Linked DNA regions of Neodiprion lecontei. The main gene of each other region encodes a partner of the protein of the gene in region 2 in a complex. Links are inferred from orthologs where the notes say so. Each region holds a gene or a part of one and is shown on either strand. Other genes may lie near its edges. The genes, in order: nucleosome assembly protein 1-like 1 and (E3-independent) E2 ubiquitin-conjugating enzyme UBE2O.

Region 1 (6,332 bases), on a different chromosome or scaffold from region 2:
GTCTGTAACACCGCGCTACTCCATTAATTTGCTGCTTGTGAAAATCCAGTCGAAGACGGTGGAAATTGTACTTTTCTGCAATTATCGAATCATTGCAGCGTTGACAGGTGGTTGACAGCATAGACGAGTCAAGTCTACGGTTGACAGGTGCAGAAACCGGAAATTATCCTCTAACTCCCCTAACCAAATCGATGGCACAAATATTAACGCAGTCATAATTAGCGTTTTCCTTTTACGACAATTTTCTGACACAACACGATACAAAGTGATTTCATTGACCTATTCCGTTAGATCTAGCCAATAAAATCACTTGGTGTCGCTTTGTGTTAGACCCATTACCTTCAGCATCCTCAGTCAATGATATAAGACCGTGCTAAGTAATAATTGGTCACGATTGTCACGAAGCAGTGCATGTGTGGTAGGACACGTCACTCCGCAATTTTTTTATTGCGGCTACTCCCGCTCCATGACATTAATTGTCGTTAACTATTCAGCTAGCATAGATGAATGTATATGCACGCACACGTGTTATCGTGCATACATATCCCCAGCTCATTAAGTCATATCCTTTAGTTTCGATATTTTGAAACAAAATTTGTTTGTTTTGTATGATAAAGGTTTATTACAAATTTAAAATTGAGTAACAACGATAGGGACGTAATCACATAAGGATTGAAAAAGTAGGGAATGAAAATGATCATTTAAATCTTTTTCACATTTTTGTATTAAAATGCCTCAACAGTACCGAAAATTCTTCTCTTTTGTATAGGTCAACACAGATTTTGAAAAAAGTTTTCAAATCATTTCCTGTCTACATACATATAAACGTAACAATAGTTTAAAAAAATATTGAAGCAATTAATAATTAGAGGAACGTTGAATATACTAGAGGAGAGAACCACATTATCAATATACTTCAGATGTTATAAACACGTTAGATGTATACGTATTTCTAAATGCGTCAAATTTACTCATCAATCGTCATGAACGTCGGATTTAGAGAGGTTTTTACACATAATTTTTTCACTGGTAAGTTGAAGTTTCTAGGCTTGATCTGGAATAGGAGAGATTGATATGATTAGCGGATGGTTTACGTAAATGGATCAGAGGCCAAAGCACATCATATTCCGTAAGCCTTCAAAGCATAGTGCAGAAGTCATAGCTGATATAAACGTTGTACACTAGAGATTTGCAAGACCGTATATATTGTGAATTCTGCATTTTGATTAGGACTTCGGAATGTTTATGTGTTTCGGTTCAAGTCGGAACTGAGGTACAATCTAAGGATAGTGGTCAATCGCGTGGTTAATGGGATGGCTTATAATAAAGTTGTATAGGTACTATGATTAGTTATTTCACATATTCTATAGTCCTACTGCTGTTTGCACTCATTGGGATTGGCTCCCTGGGGCAGTTTCGCACCTGGAGGGGCGTTAACATGGCCATCCTCTTCTTCCTCATCCACCTCGTCATCGTCGTCCTCTTCTTCAACCTCCTCTTCGTAATCATCTTCCTCATCCTCCAGTCCTTCGCCTGAGAATGCCGAAAGATTTGTACACAATATATTGCAAACTGTCTTTTGCTCACTTTTCTTTATCTAGTTTGAAATTTTGTTGAATACCTGTATAATACAGCACTGCTCTGGGTACAATACGCTCTCTTATGTAGTGACCAATTTCAAAATCGCTCGTCAAAAGGGCCTGAGTTTCGTCGTCGATTTCAGCTTCTGAATCTTCGGGTACTGTGATAACAAAAATGATTTTCAATTGCAAATTTTACCCAACGATTCTACCAGAAAAATATCAGATGACAGAATTCCTTACCAATTGGAGGACTAAAGAAATTGAAGAAGGAATCATTCTGTACAGTCTTTGTGACCGTGCGGACTGATCCACGAGATTTGTGTTTCTGATTTTTCTTGATCGTTTTTACAGTAACGTTCTTTCCTTTCTTCCAATCGATTACACAGCCCTGTTGAATTCCACAAATTACATTACCGAGTAGATTCTAGTCTAGGTAAAATAGGAAATACATTGACGCTGAATAGCAAAGCTAAATCTTTCGCATACAAATTCATTAAATTTTTACCTTGCATTTGTAGATTTCAGGTCCTTCAAAACTGAAAGGATCGCTCAACTCTGGGGCACATTTCATTGTATACTCCTTAGTGAGAACAGAGTTTGAGAAGTACTCATTTGGTTCAAAATGGAATTCCAGAACAAAGCCCTAAAATAAAAACATAACATTAAGGCTGTTAAGTTCATGCCAAGACTTGGATTTCAATTAGTTAGTCATGATTACATATTTATTCGTTGCTCACCATTGGGTTTGATTCTAGGAAAATAACTTTGACATCATAAAGATGTTTAAGAATGGGCTCATCATGTTCCTGAACCATTTCTGCCAGCATTCCCACGTTCTTGAATATTGTGAGCCAAAATTCTGGAATACCCTTGACGTTCTCATCTTTAGCCCTGAGGACGAATAAAGAGTTAGGTATGTGAAAAAAAAAAAAAAAAAAAAAATTTCGTCCGATATAGAGATATCATGACTTTTTAATAGCGATGTCTTAGTAAGAAACAGCCATGGGTGGAATATTAAAGATTTACTCTACTTTTTGAATATGTACAAATTTAACACAACCGATATCGCCGGTGTTATCAATTTTATTTCAAAGTATGGATCAAATTGTCACCCCCATGTATTCTGTACTCCACAAAGGCAGAAGGAATTAATAATACAGTTGGCAGTTCGGAGGTCACGAAAGATAAGTGGATCACGAGAGTGTATATTCTCTGATGATTCAAAACTATTCTTCAAGGACATGTTGTACGTGTTTGTTAACGTATTATGTTGTCCTGTTACCAGGAACCAATTGAATATAGCATAAGCAACAAAATTTTGCTTTATATTGAATTCTGATTGCATAAATGGTTGAGTTGATTTGATACGTTACATAAGCTATAATAATCAGTGAATCAAAAGCCTTGAAAGCAAAGAAACATACTCGTCTTTTTTCTCTTTAAGATCTTCAATCTTCACCTTAGTCTTCAATTCGCTACTAAGGCCTTGTTCTTCCTCGTCACTTTCCCACTCACACTCCTCTTCAGTTGGTTCATAGATGCCTGATACAATTTCTCCCCTCTTTTCGTACAAAGGTACGTACATTTTGTGGTATTTGCATTCCAGAGCATGAACTTCTTCATAGAACTTCGCCTCAATATTTGTAGCTACCAATTGTATTTTTTTTAAAGCTTTAATTCTACGTTTCACGGGAGCTGGAAGTGCCTGTTAAAAAAAGAAGATTGTCAAACACTTTTATATTTTCACACTAATAAATGAGAGCTGTTCACACGACATGTTATTGTTACTGATGTGTTGAGATATTGAGTTTGGAAACATGATGTAAAATTGATTTGAATCAAATATAATTTACGTCGTATATGTAAGATGTATGAATGATTAATTATCTCTGCATTGTTAAAAACATTTTTCTTTAGCATCTCCATCAAACCTGGATCCTTTAGTATAAGAGAACTACAAGCGAACAAAGTACCTCCAACATTTGTGCATGAATACGATCTTGTAAAGCTGCCAACAGATCGGGCCTGCGAAGGATCTGCGAGTTGATACCCGTAGGGTGATTCTCATCTTCATCCTCAACGAATTCCAAGTCACTGGCATCTCCAGCACGTTCAGGATCGGTGGTCATGGTTCTGGTGTAAAATAATAGCAAATAACAGAGTAAAAAAAAACTGTTCATCTTTCCCTCCCAATATGTCTGACGTTTGAATAGCCATGTAGGGAGAACAAAAGGTTGCCCGCGTGCGAACACGTTTAATTTGTCAAATCCGAAACTCCTAAAAGATCAGGATGCGGACTGATTTTCAAATCCTTGACTACGTGGATACTTTTAAATGTAAAAATACTTTCAATAAGCTGCTCGTACGAAAATATCGGAGATTATATTGTCAAAGTTTGAAGTAAAGTTTTATGCGCCGCGACCGAAGGTAGCGTGCACATGGAGCAAATTACAGATGTTAAATTAGCTGGATGAATCAATGATATTTCATATGTTAATTAACGAGCGCCGTCACGCGTGAAAAGTGGAGTACGTCGCGGATAATAAGCGGCGATTGAATTAATGATATATATTAAAAATTTATACCCTTGGTTGAGGATGCTCACAGTCCAAAAAAGACGGAGACGAACGAAGGAATGAACAGCGAACCGGTCCGGGTACCACCGTATAAAAAATAATCGAGTCTCGTCTCGACTCTCGAGTGGCGCGAACGTAGCCCGGAGACTCAGTGTTACCAACAGTCCGAAAGGTGCGAGATTCTCGAGATGCGTGCGATTGTTTCACGTATTCGGCTGGTATTCGGAGACGAGATAAGACCAATAACCACAATCGATATTGAAAAGTGTCGATAGCAATACAGAAATGGCTGACACCAGATATTCACTTCTGCTAGAGACGAAATAGCATCAGCACTAAATAACACAATATACAATTATGATTTGGAATAAAGTATGTTATAATTTTTTTTTTTTCATAACTCTAGAATTAGTGTCGAAAATTCACCCGTCTTTGCACGGACACAATAATGGTGAGTATTTTTTCCCCTGTTTTTTCGATGATCCTGTATTCCATGTTTGATTCAATATACATAACATAACACTTGTATTAAAATAAAACTAACTTTTATAAATTGAAAAGATTAATAATCAATTATGCAATTCATTTTCTAATCGCGGTTATATTTTTTTTTGGTAAATAAGATTTACTGTAGTCATATCAAAATATATTATTTCAGTCGCTTTCCCACATTACGTATTGTTTACGACACATAAAAACCACAACTGATCGTGAATAGCTTGGCTTGGAATTATCAGTTATGCTTGCGGTTAATATACATATCTACACACACACACACACACACACATATAAATATGTGTGTGTGTGTGTGTGTGTGTGTGTTGATATGTATGTGTGTATATATATATATATATATATATATATATATATATATATATATATATATATATGTATTTATATATATACATGCATATGTAATCGAAGTTTTCAATGAATTTAAAAAAAGCCATATCGAACATTACGTTTCCAATATCTGTATTATTCAGTACTCACTGAACGATTCTACAAAATAAATAGCTATGCTCTTGATACGCAAATTATAATTACACAAATGTCTTTCATTAAAAACTTGTGCACATGCTTCGTTAACGTTCATTGGTATGTTTCTATTATAATTCTTCTATGCTTCTTACTTTCAGCATTTGTGCAAGCCAACAATGAGGTCCAGTATCTTTTGGACAACATCCCTATATCCATGCACAAGGTAATGAGATCTGTTTTTTCATTCACTTCTTTCCTTTACTTCAAACTGCACAATCATATTATATTATCTTTCTTTTACAGGGATTCTCTAGTTCAGTTGAGGAGCATCGGTAAGTTAAGTAATTCTAATGAAGGTGGAGTTTCATATCAATTCAAGTCACATTCAATGATAACCTTTTGAACGTAAGAGATTCTTTTCATACTTCTCTTATTTTCACATCTTATTCCTGTTTCCTCTTTTTCTTCCGCAAACTATGCATGATCTCTATAATTGAGAAATTTTGTTGAAGGAATTCGATGTCAGATGACAACACAGTCGATGCAATATCATACATTCAGTTCAAACCAAGCATACTGGACTTCAAAGAAAGGTATGTAAATAATTTCCATTACGAAGCTGTTTAACAGGCAGTCAAAATTTTTTTGGAACTTGTGATATAATTATATTTTGAAATATAACTTTGAATATATCAATTTCAGACAGCTTGGTGTACCACATCAAGAAACTGTGACATTGTTCAATAGAGATTGTAATAAAACAATTCATGTCTCATCAATTTCTGGGAATACACAACACTTTCATTCGTCTTTTTTCCAGGATAAAGTGAGTCTTTAGCCTTGCATTTAATACTACTGATTTTATGGTATGTCCTAAGGAAAAGGAATATAACTGAGCGCTAACAGATTCATAAACAAATTTTATATGTTTAAAGGTAATCCCACCCCTTGGCAATACAACATTCAATGTTGTGTTCCTCGGTAGGGAAGAAGGTGAAATCGATAGCTATCTGTTCATTCATACCTCAGACGGTACTCTAAAATATCAGGTAATTGTGACAGGGGAGTAAAGTCAAAGAAGACGAGAGTTATCTTTTATTTTTACTGATCCAGATCCGAGGAATCAGCGTGAGCAGTCCATATCGATTACGACCTGTAGTGGGGATCAAGCTACCATTAAATGCCTCTTTCA
Region 2 (5,282 bases):
CTGTACTGGAAGTCAGGATGATCTTTCAGATCGTAAACACTGACCTCGCGTTCTTGTAACATCGTTGGCCTAGTGAAAATAATCCCATCATTAATTCATCGAAGATTTTAGTGGACTTTGAAATATAAATATCACTTGGCTCGAAGGTTATGGACACTGTTAAAAATTGCGGCAAATAATTTGTAGTTTACTCACTGAGGACTTTGGCTTGAAGTGTATGTTCTGAACCATTTTACTTTAGCCGTTCTGCCTTGATGATCAACGCTCTGTACGACGCCATACATTCTTGATTCCTCTTTTTGGTCGACGACAAAGTCACCAGGGAAAAATTCTTGGTCATCTAAGTGATGTATAGGATACAACTGGGTGGAAGGAATACCTGAATAGATGATAAACCTTGTCAGTATAGTGTCATGTATTGACACAGAGTTTCAATATGGAAAAAGAAAGTATGTGTGTTAGTACCAATTTCGACGGACCCGTCTTGCCAGACTACGTTTGCTTTTGTACTCGTCGACAAAGTTTCCACGACTATTTTCGTTCCAGGTATCAGTGCAACAGGTGCAACTTTCTTCTTTGCTTTGCACAACTTTTTTTTCTTCAGAACCTTCGTCATCAGGGCAGGTCCTCTCTTTTTTTTGCCCATAGACGCTACGCTAGAACAGCCGCTGGATACCTGTAATTTTTATACAGGCGCAGGTAGGTTTTATTGTGCTCACAAAAACAACTATCTGCGTTGAACTTGCTCATAGATTTTTTCCTACTAACCGAAGCTGTGTCACTTTGTGACCCTGTATCTTCTGTATCCCAATCATCGGAACTTTCTGCAGTGGTATTTTGTGGTGGTGGCATTAAACTGTTGTTTGCCAAGGAACTGTGCGAATTGTTGACAGGATTGTTGGCCAAATTAGCCTCCAATCGCTCGGATGTTTGACGATCCAGAATAATAGGTTTATTGTCAACAGGTTTGGTAACGCTAACGTTTACCCGGGATTTCCGCGGGCCATGCTTTGGTACGTTGAAAATTTCTCTTTGCTGTTTTCTCCACTGTTCTCGGCTGATTACATTTTCATTTTCCTTAACGGTGTAAAAGTTACGATCCCCAACTTGTAGTGTCGAGGGTTCAAATACATTGAGGAGCTTTAATTTTTTGAGATCTTCACCCTCCACTACAAACTTTGGTTGCACCTGATCCGTGCCAGCTCCGTCTTTGGAGTAGGCTCTGCACTGCCAGTGAACTCCTATTGAATCAGTCTCTATTTTCTCAACAACAACTTTGGTTATTTTTTGCGGCTTCAACTTTCTCTTTGCCTTTAATTCCTTAGTGCACAAAATCCATTGCGCGTCTTCCAGACAATGTAACGGCCCCCAGAGGCTTTGACCTGGATAGAATTCGGAGGAATGTGGAAAATCGTTATCCTGAAATAAAAAAGGATCGGTGGTATAAGGTGAGCATTGAAGTATCGGAAATTGATCCGATGCTCATTCCACAGATCAGTGTTGAATTACACGTTACATTTTCTCGCTTTTCTTCAAACTGTTCCAGAGCACAGGCATCTATTTCATTTATCACACAACGTGATCCATCCGGCATTGCCAGCCATAATTTTGAATGGACCATCTTAATTCCACCGACCCAAGAATCCATGCACACGGCTATGTCCGTAGAAAATTCCTGCAAATGTTGAATTCTGACATTAGGACAGATCGTATTGCAAAAAATACTCTCGTTTCAACATTGACATCAGACATGACTAGATTGGATGTCTGTAAAAACTGATGTTAAAGTAACGTCGAACTGCTATGCACCTCCAGTGGCACCAAATCTTCACTTTTAACATTAGTCAAGATTTGTTTAGTTCCAATGACTTGAACACAAGCGGTTAATTCGATGTCTCGACAGTAGCCTCTCTGGGTGTCCTTTCCCTTAATCATACGACGTACAACGTCACCTGGCATCAGTGATCTGTCAGCCAGATGTATCTAAAAAAAAATTAAACAACAAATGGATAATTGGTTGATGTAACAACTACCTAACAATGGGGAGGCTTAAAAAAAAGGTTAAGGTATAATCTTGAGCAAAATGACGAGACATTCGATGTTTTACGGCCCAATTAACAATAGCATGTTTCAATTAGATGAAACATTCACCATGTTAAAGTTCATAACGATTCATGCTGAGGAAAAACCGTTACTTCGCGATTTTGGAATTATTTGAATTCAGTACACCATAATAAAATAAAACATACTCATATTTTGAAATCCTTTTTCCTTCCAAGTGATTGTAAAAATAAGAAAATAGTGATTTTTCCCCCAATGTTTCGATACGATAACGTTACAAACTTCAATATCGTGAACATTCCGGGTATGTTCGAAATTCAAAATTAGCGCCCAGTGAAATGCGAAGTATGTTATGCGCCGTTTCTTCATTTTGGCAAGTTGCAGATACGTTGATTGAAGTGTATATCGGTAGGATATGCGGTATTTTATGACGTGAAAGTAAAGCTTATACGCAGCGAACCGGTTGATTGATCGGGTGGCAAGCGATTCCGATTTAGGGGTAGCGTAAGAAGGGAGAAAGAGAAAGAGAGAGAGTGATAGGGATAGATAGAGATAACAGAATGAAGTGGGAAAGGAGAGCTGGGAGGAGTAGCTCGTTCGGGAATTATCACCTTCTTAGAATTGACGAGTTCCTCGACGCCGGAGGGGTGCCAGACAGCGTGGATCTCTCCCTGTTTCCGCTTCGGACTCTCCTCGTTGTCCGAACTTTCGTCCGATGAGTCGGGGTCGTCGTTTCCCATGACGATGCCAAACTCAACGTTACCTCGCTTGTCCACGCGGTAAATAACGTCCTCGTAGAAATATTCAATCATCGTGTTCGCAGCCATGTTTTCTATCCTTATATCGGTCCGGGGTTAGTTCGTTGAGACGGTCGGTTGCATACGCACTAGATACGCACACACTCCGCGGTCAGCCGTCGGCTCGGTGCCTCGCTCTGGCTCTTTGCCTGCTGCCGACGACAGCCGAGCAGCTGACGACGGATGACAGAACCAATCTTACGGCGCACACTCACCGCCAACGATGGCCGGGCGATCGCGCCTTGACCCTAAAGACGCGCGCGCCGGGATTTAGGCGATTCTCGACGTTTCGAAGCGGTCCATTCTCTGCCCTTCATCGTTCGGCCCTTCGGGACCCATTTTTGTTTTTTAGTTTCACCCCGTGGCAACCCTTTTTTTTCAACCTCTTGTTTTTGTTTCGATCTCGTTTGTCTTCTCCTTCGCTCGCTTCAATTATTCAAAAATAAAAACGCGCCCTCTTTGCGTGGACTTCGATCGTATGTATCCTCATTTCGAAGCGATGCGTTGTGTGCAGAATCAAGTTCCATTTTAGTCTGCGTTAATTTATCTGAGGGAAAATTGAGCGGCCGAGAGACTAAGGAAACAAAATCTTCTAGGTACACTTAAAATTGGGGAATTGATTTTTATTTTGTAAAAACCACGAAGATTAAAATCAACGCGGTATCTACAAGATGTATACATTGTACATGTTAAATTAGGCAGAAAATATACATTTATTTGAAATTCTTTTGATATCGCATATTAATTGATATATTGTTGTTTTTCTTAATTCCTTGATGGAATATATTGTATTCTTATTAACAGCTTGTCAATCTGCGTTGAATTATTTAGCCACCGTTACGGCAGCCCTGTTTCCTTTACATAAGCTTGAATATTAGGCAACCCCTAGCCAAATTTGACAATGTAAACGAACATTCATACAGCAAAGTGTGTTCGCTGGAAACCTTGGCCTAAACTCTGCAAAATTGTTTGTACTTCTTCTTCGTTGTGATGGAAAAATATATAGGCATTGAACTTTGTCGCCACGTTACAGTTTTTGTCTCTGAAACAAGATAGATAACATAACAATTGTTACAATTTTTCACCAACAATTGCACGTAACTTTGATAATTATCTTACCCCGCAATGAACGCAAAGTAGTCTGGAATATTAGCAGTACGCCCGCATGATGATATTTCCATATAGCTGTGCTTCGAAATGATCTAGAAATACCATACAGTACACAGTTAGAACAAAAATATCTCTCAATGGCTAAAGCTAAATATCTCGTTGATCCAAATAAAACTTACATTATCATCGTTTGCCCGTGTGACTCTGACTCCTATCTCCAAGCATTCGAACCTGACACTTGTCGACTGGAAATCCTCAGACTTTAAGATTCGCCAAATGGCTTTTTCGATCTGTCTTACATCACCTTCCGTTCCAGTAGAAATAGAACCGCAGTACTTGAGCACGAATCCAGCTTTCAGCTGTTCGTTCTCTGTATTAGAGTTGTTTACCCCTGATTTATCATCTCCGATACAATCGGGTTTCAGAATCGGACTTCTCTGGAGTAGTAATTTTTTCATATGATCGATATTTGAGCTGCGAATCAGGTGAACAATTGGTCCGTAAACATCTCTGGATTGTTTATACCGATACTAAAACAGTTATAAAACTGCTGTGGTAAAATCACGTCAACAATACGTCGCAATTGACGGTGCCTGACTAGTAAGTCGTGTCATAGGAAAAATAACCATTTGATCCATACTTTAATGATATGAAGAGATATGGGTTGTCCTATTGCCTTTTTCATGATTTTTCCAAGTCTTCCCTTGGCGCTAGCAGTTATAACGTTTCCGTTGATCTCATCCAAGACATCTCCAAGCTCAATTTTGTCCTGATAAGAGTATCGCAATAATTATGCCATTGCATTGATTATAAATAATTTTATGCATTGTAGCTAAATATGATTTTACAAAATATTCTTACATCTTCGGCAGCGACTGAATTTTCGTCTAAATTGACGACCAGAGCCTTCCCCTCTATGAAGCTGGACAGAAACGTAAAGAAGAGATTTTTATTAATAAGTATCGAGCGTTTACGTGAACGAGATTGACGCTACTTAAAGTTACATGCGTTTGCATCATCAATATCTAATCATCTAAACTTACGAAACCGACATGCCCATTGTCTTACAAGGCACGAGTTCAAGAGCTGAGCACTCAGGAAGCAGCCATGTGTCGTCCAGGAAACTGGCATTTTTCAAATTCAATCGAAAATTCAATTTACCGCACTGCAGCAAAACGGATAGTAGTATTTCCCCTAAAATTTCATCGCCCAAAATGCTTTGGGGTTCGTAGTAATCCAAGGCAAGTGGAAACGCGGAGTTATTCTGTGCCTGTTGAAAGTTGTACTTATTATACAGATGCACGAACAACGTAC

What was found.
Region 1: the proteins of (E3-independent) E2 ubiquitin-conjugating enzyme UBE2O (region 2) and nucleosome assembly protein 1-like 1 are in contact, whole or in part, in a cryo-EM structure (PDB 7UN6), measured with the Homo sapiens proteins. The link is inferred for Neodiprion lecontei from reciprocal best matches to the Homo sapiens genes UBE2O and NAP1L1. Residues at the interface, in NP_071349.3 of Homo sapiens: Ser225, Asn226, Val282, Lys283, Pro284, Val285, Lys289, Ser290, Lys291, Phe292, Arg293; in NP_001317160.1 of Homo sapiens: Arg333, Arg337, Thr343, Gly344, Glu345, Ala346, Ile347, Asp349.

Annotation. Positions count from the first base shown.
Region 1 is NC_060265.1:2,824,170-2,830,501, reverse strand, and holds nucleosome assembly protein 1-like 1, read right to left. Parts: upstream 4,314-6,332; 5' UTR 4,169-4,313; intron 3,717-4,168; 5' UTR 3,713-3,716; coding exon 3,557-3,712; intron 3,289-3,556; coding exon 3,008-3,288; intron 2,475-3,007; coding exon 2,321-2,474; intron 2,227-2,320; coding exon 2,089-2,226; intron 1,972-2,088; coding exon 1,824-1,971; intron 1,742-1,823; coding exon 1,622-1,741; intron 1,534-1,621; coding exon 1,373-1,533; 3' UTR 1,055-1,372; coding exon of another isoform or gene 1,044-1,054; 3' UTR 707-1,043; downstream 1-706. Other genes in the region: transmembrane protein 131, read left to right, coding at 4,517-4,610, 5,299-5,363, 5,444-5,472, 5,653-5,733, 5,843-5,966, 6,076-6,189, 6,254-6,332. UniProt on the Homo sapiens protein: Histone chaperone that plays a role in the nuclear import of H2A-H2B and nucleosome assembly.
Region 2 is NC_060261.1:3,801,407-3,806,688, forward strand, and holds the start of (E3-independent) E2 ubiquitin-conjugating enzyme UBE2O, read right to left. Parts: upstream 3,021-5,282; 5' UTR 2,889-3,020; coding exon 2,673-2,888; intron 1,984-2,672; coding exon 1,810-1,983; intron 1,676-1,809; coding exon 1,517-1,675; intron 1,420-1,516; coding exon 769-1,419; intron 677-768; coding exon 466-676; intron 380-465; coding exon 196-379; intron 70-195; coding exon 1-69. Other genes in the region: uncharacterized protein LOC107218116, read right to left, coding at 3,774-3,900, 3,978-4,060, 4,148-4,498, 4,609-4,737, 4,830-4,890, 5,012-5,238. UniProt on the Homo sapiens protein: E2/E3 hybrid ubiquitin-protein ligase that displays both E2 and E3 ligase activities and mediates monoubiquitination of target proteins. Negatively regulates TRAF6-mediated NF-kappa-B activation independently of its E2 activity.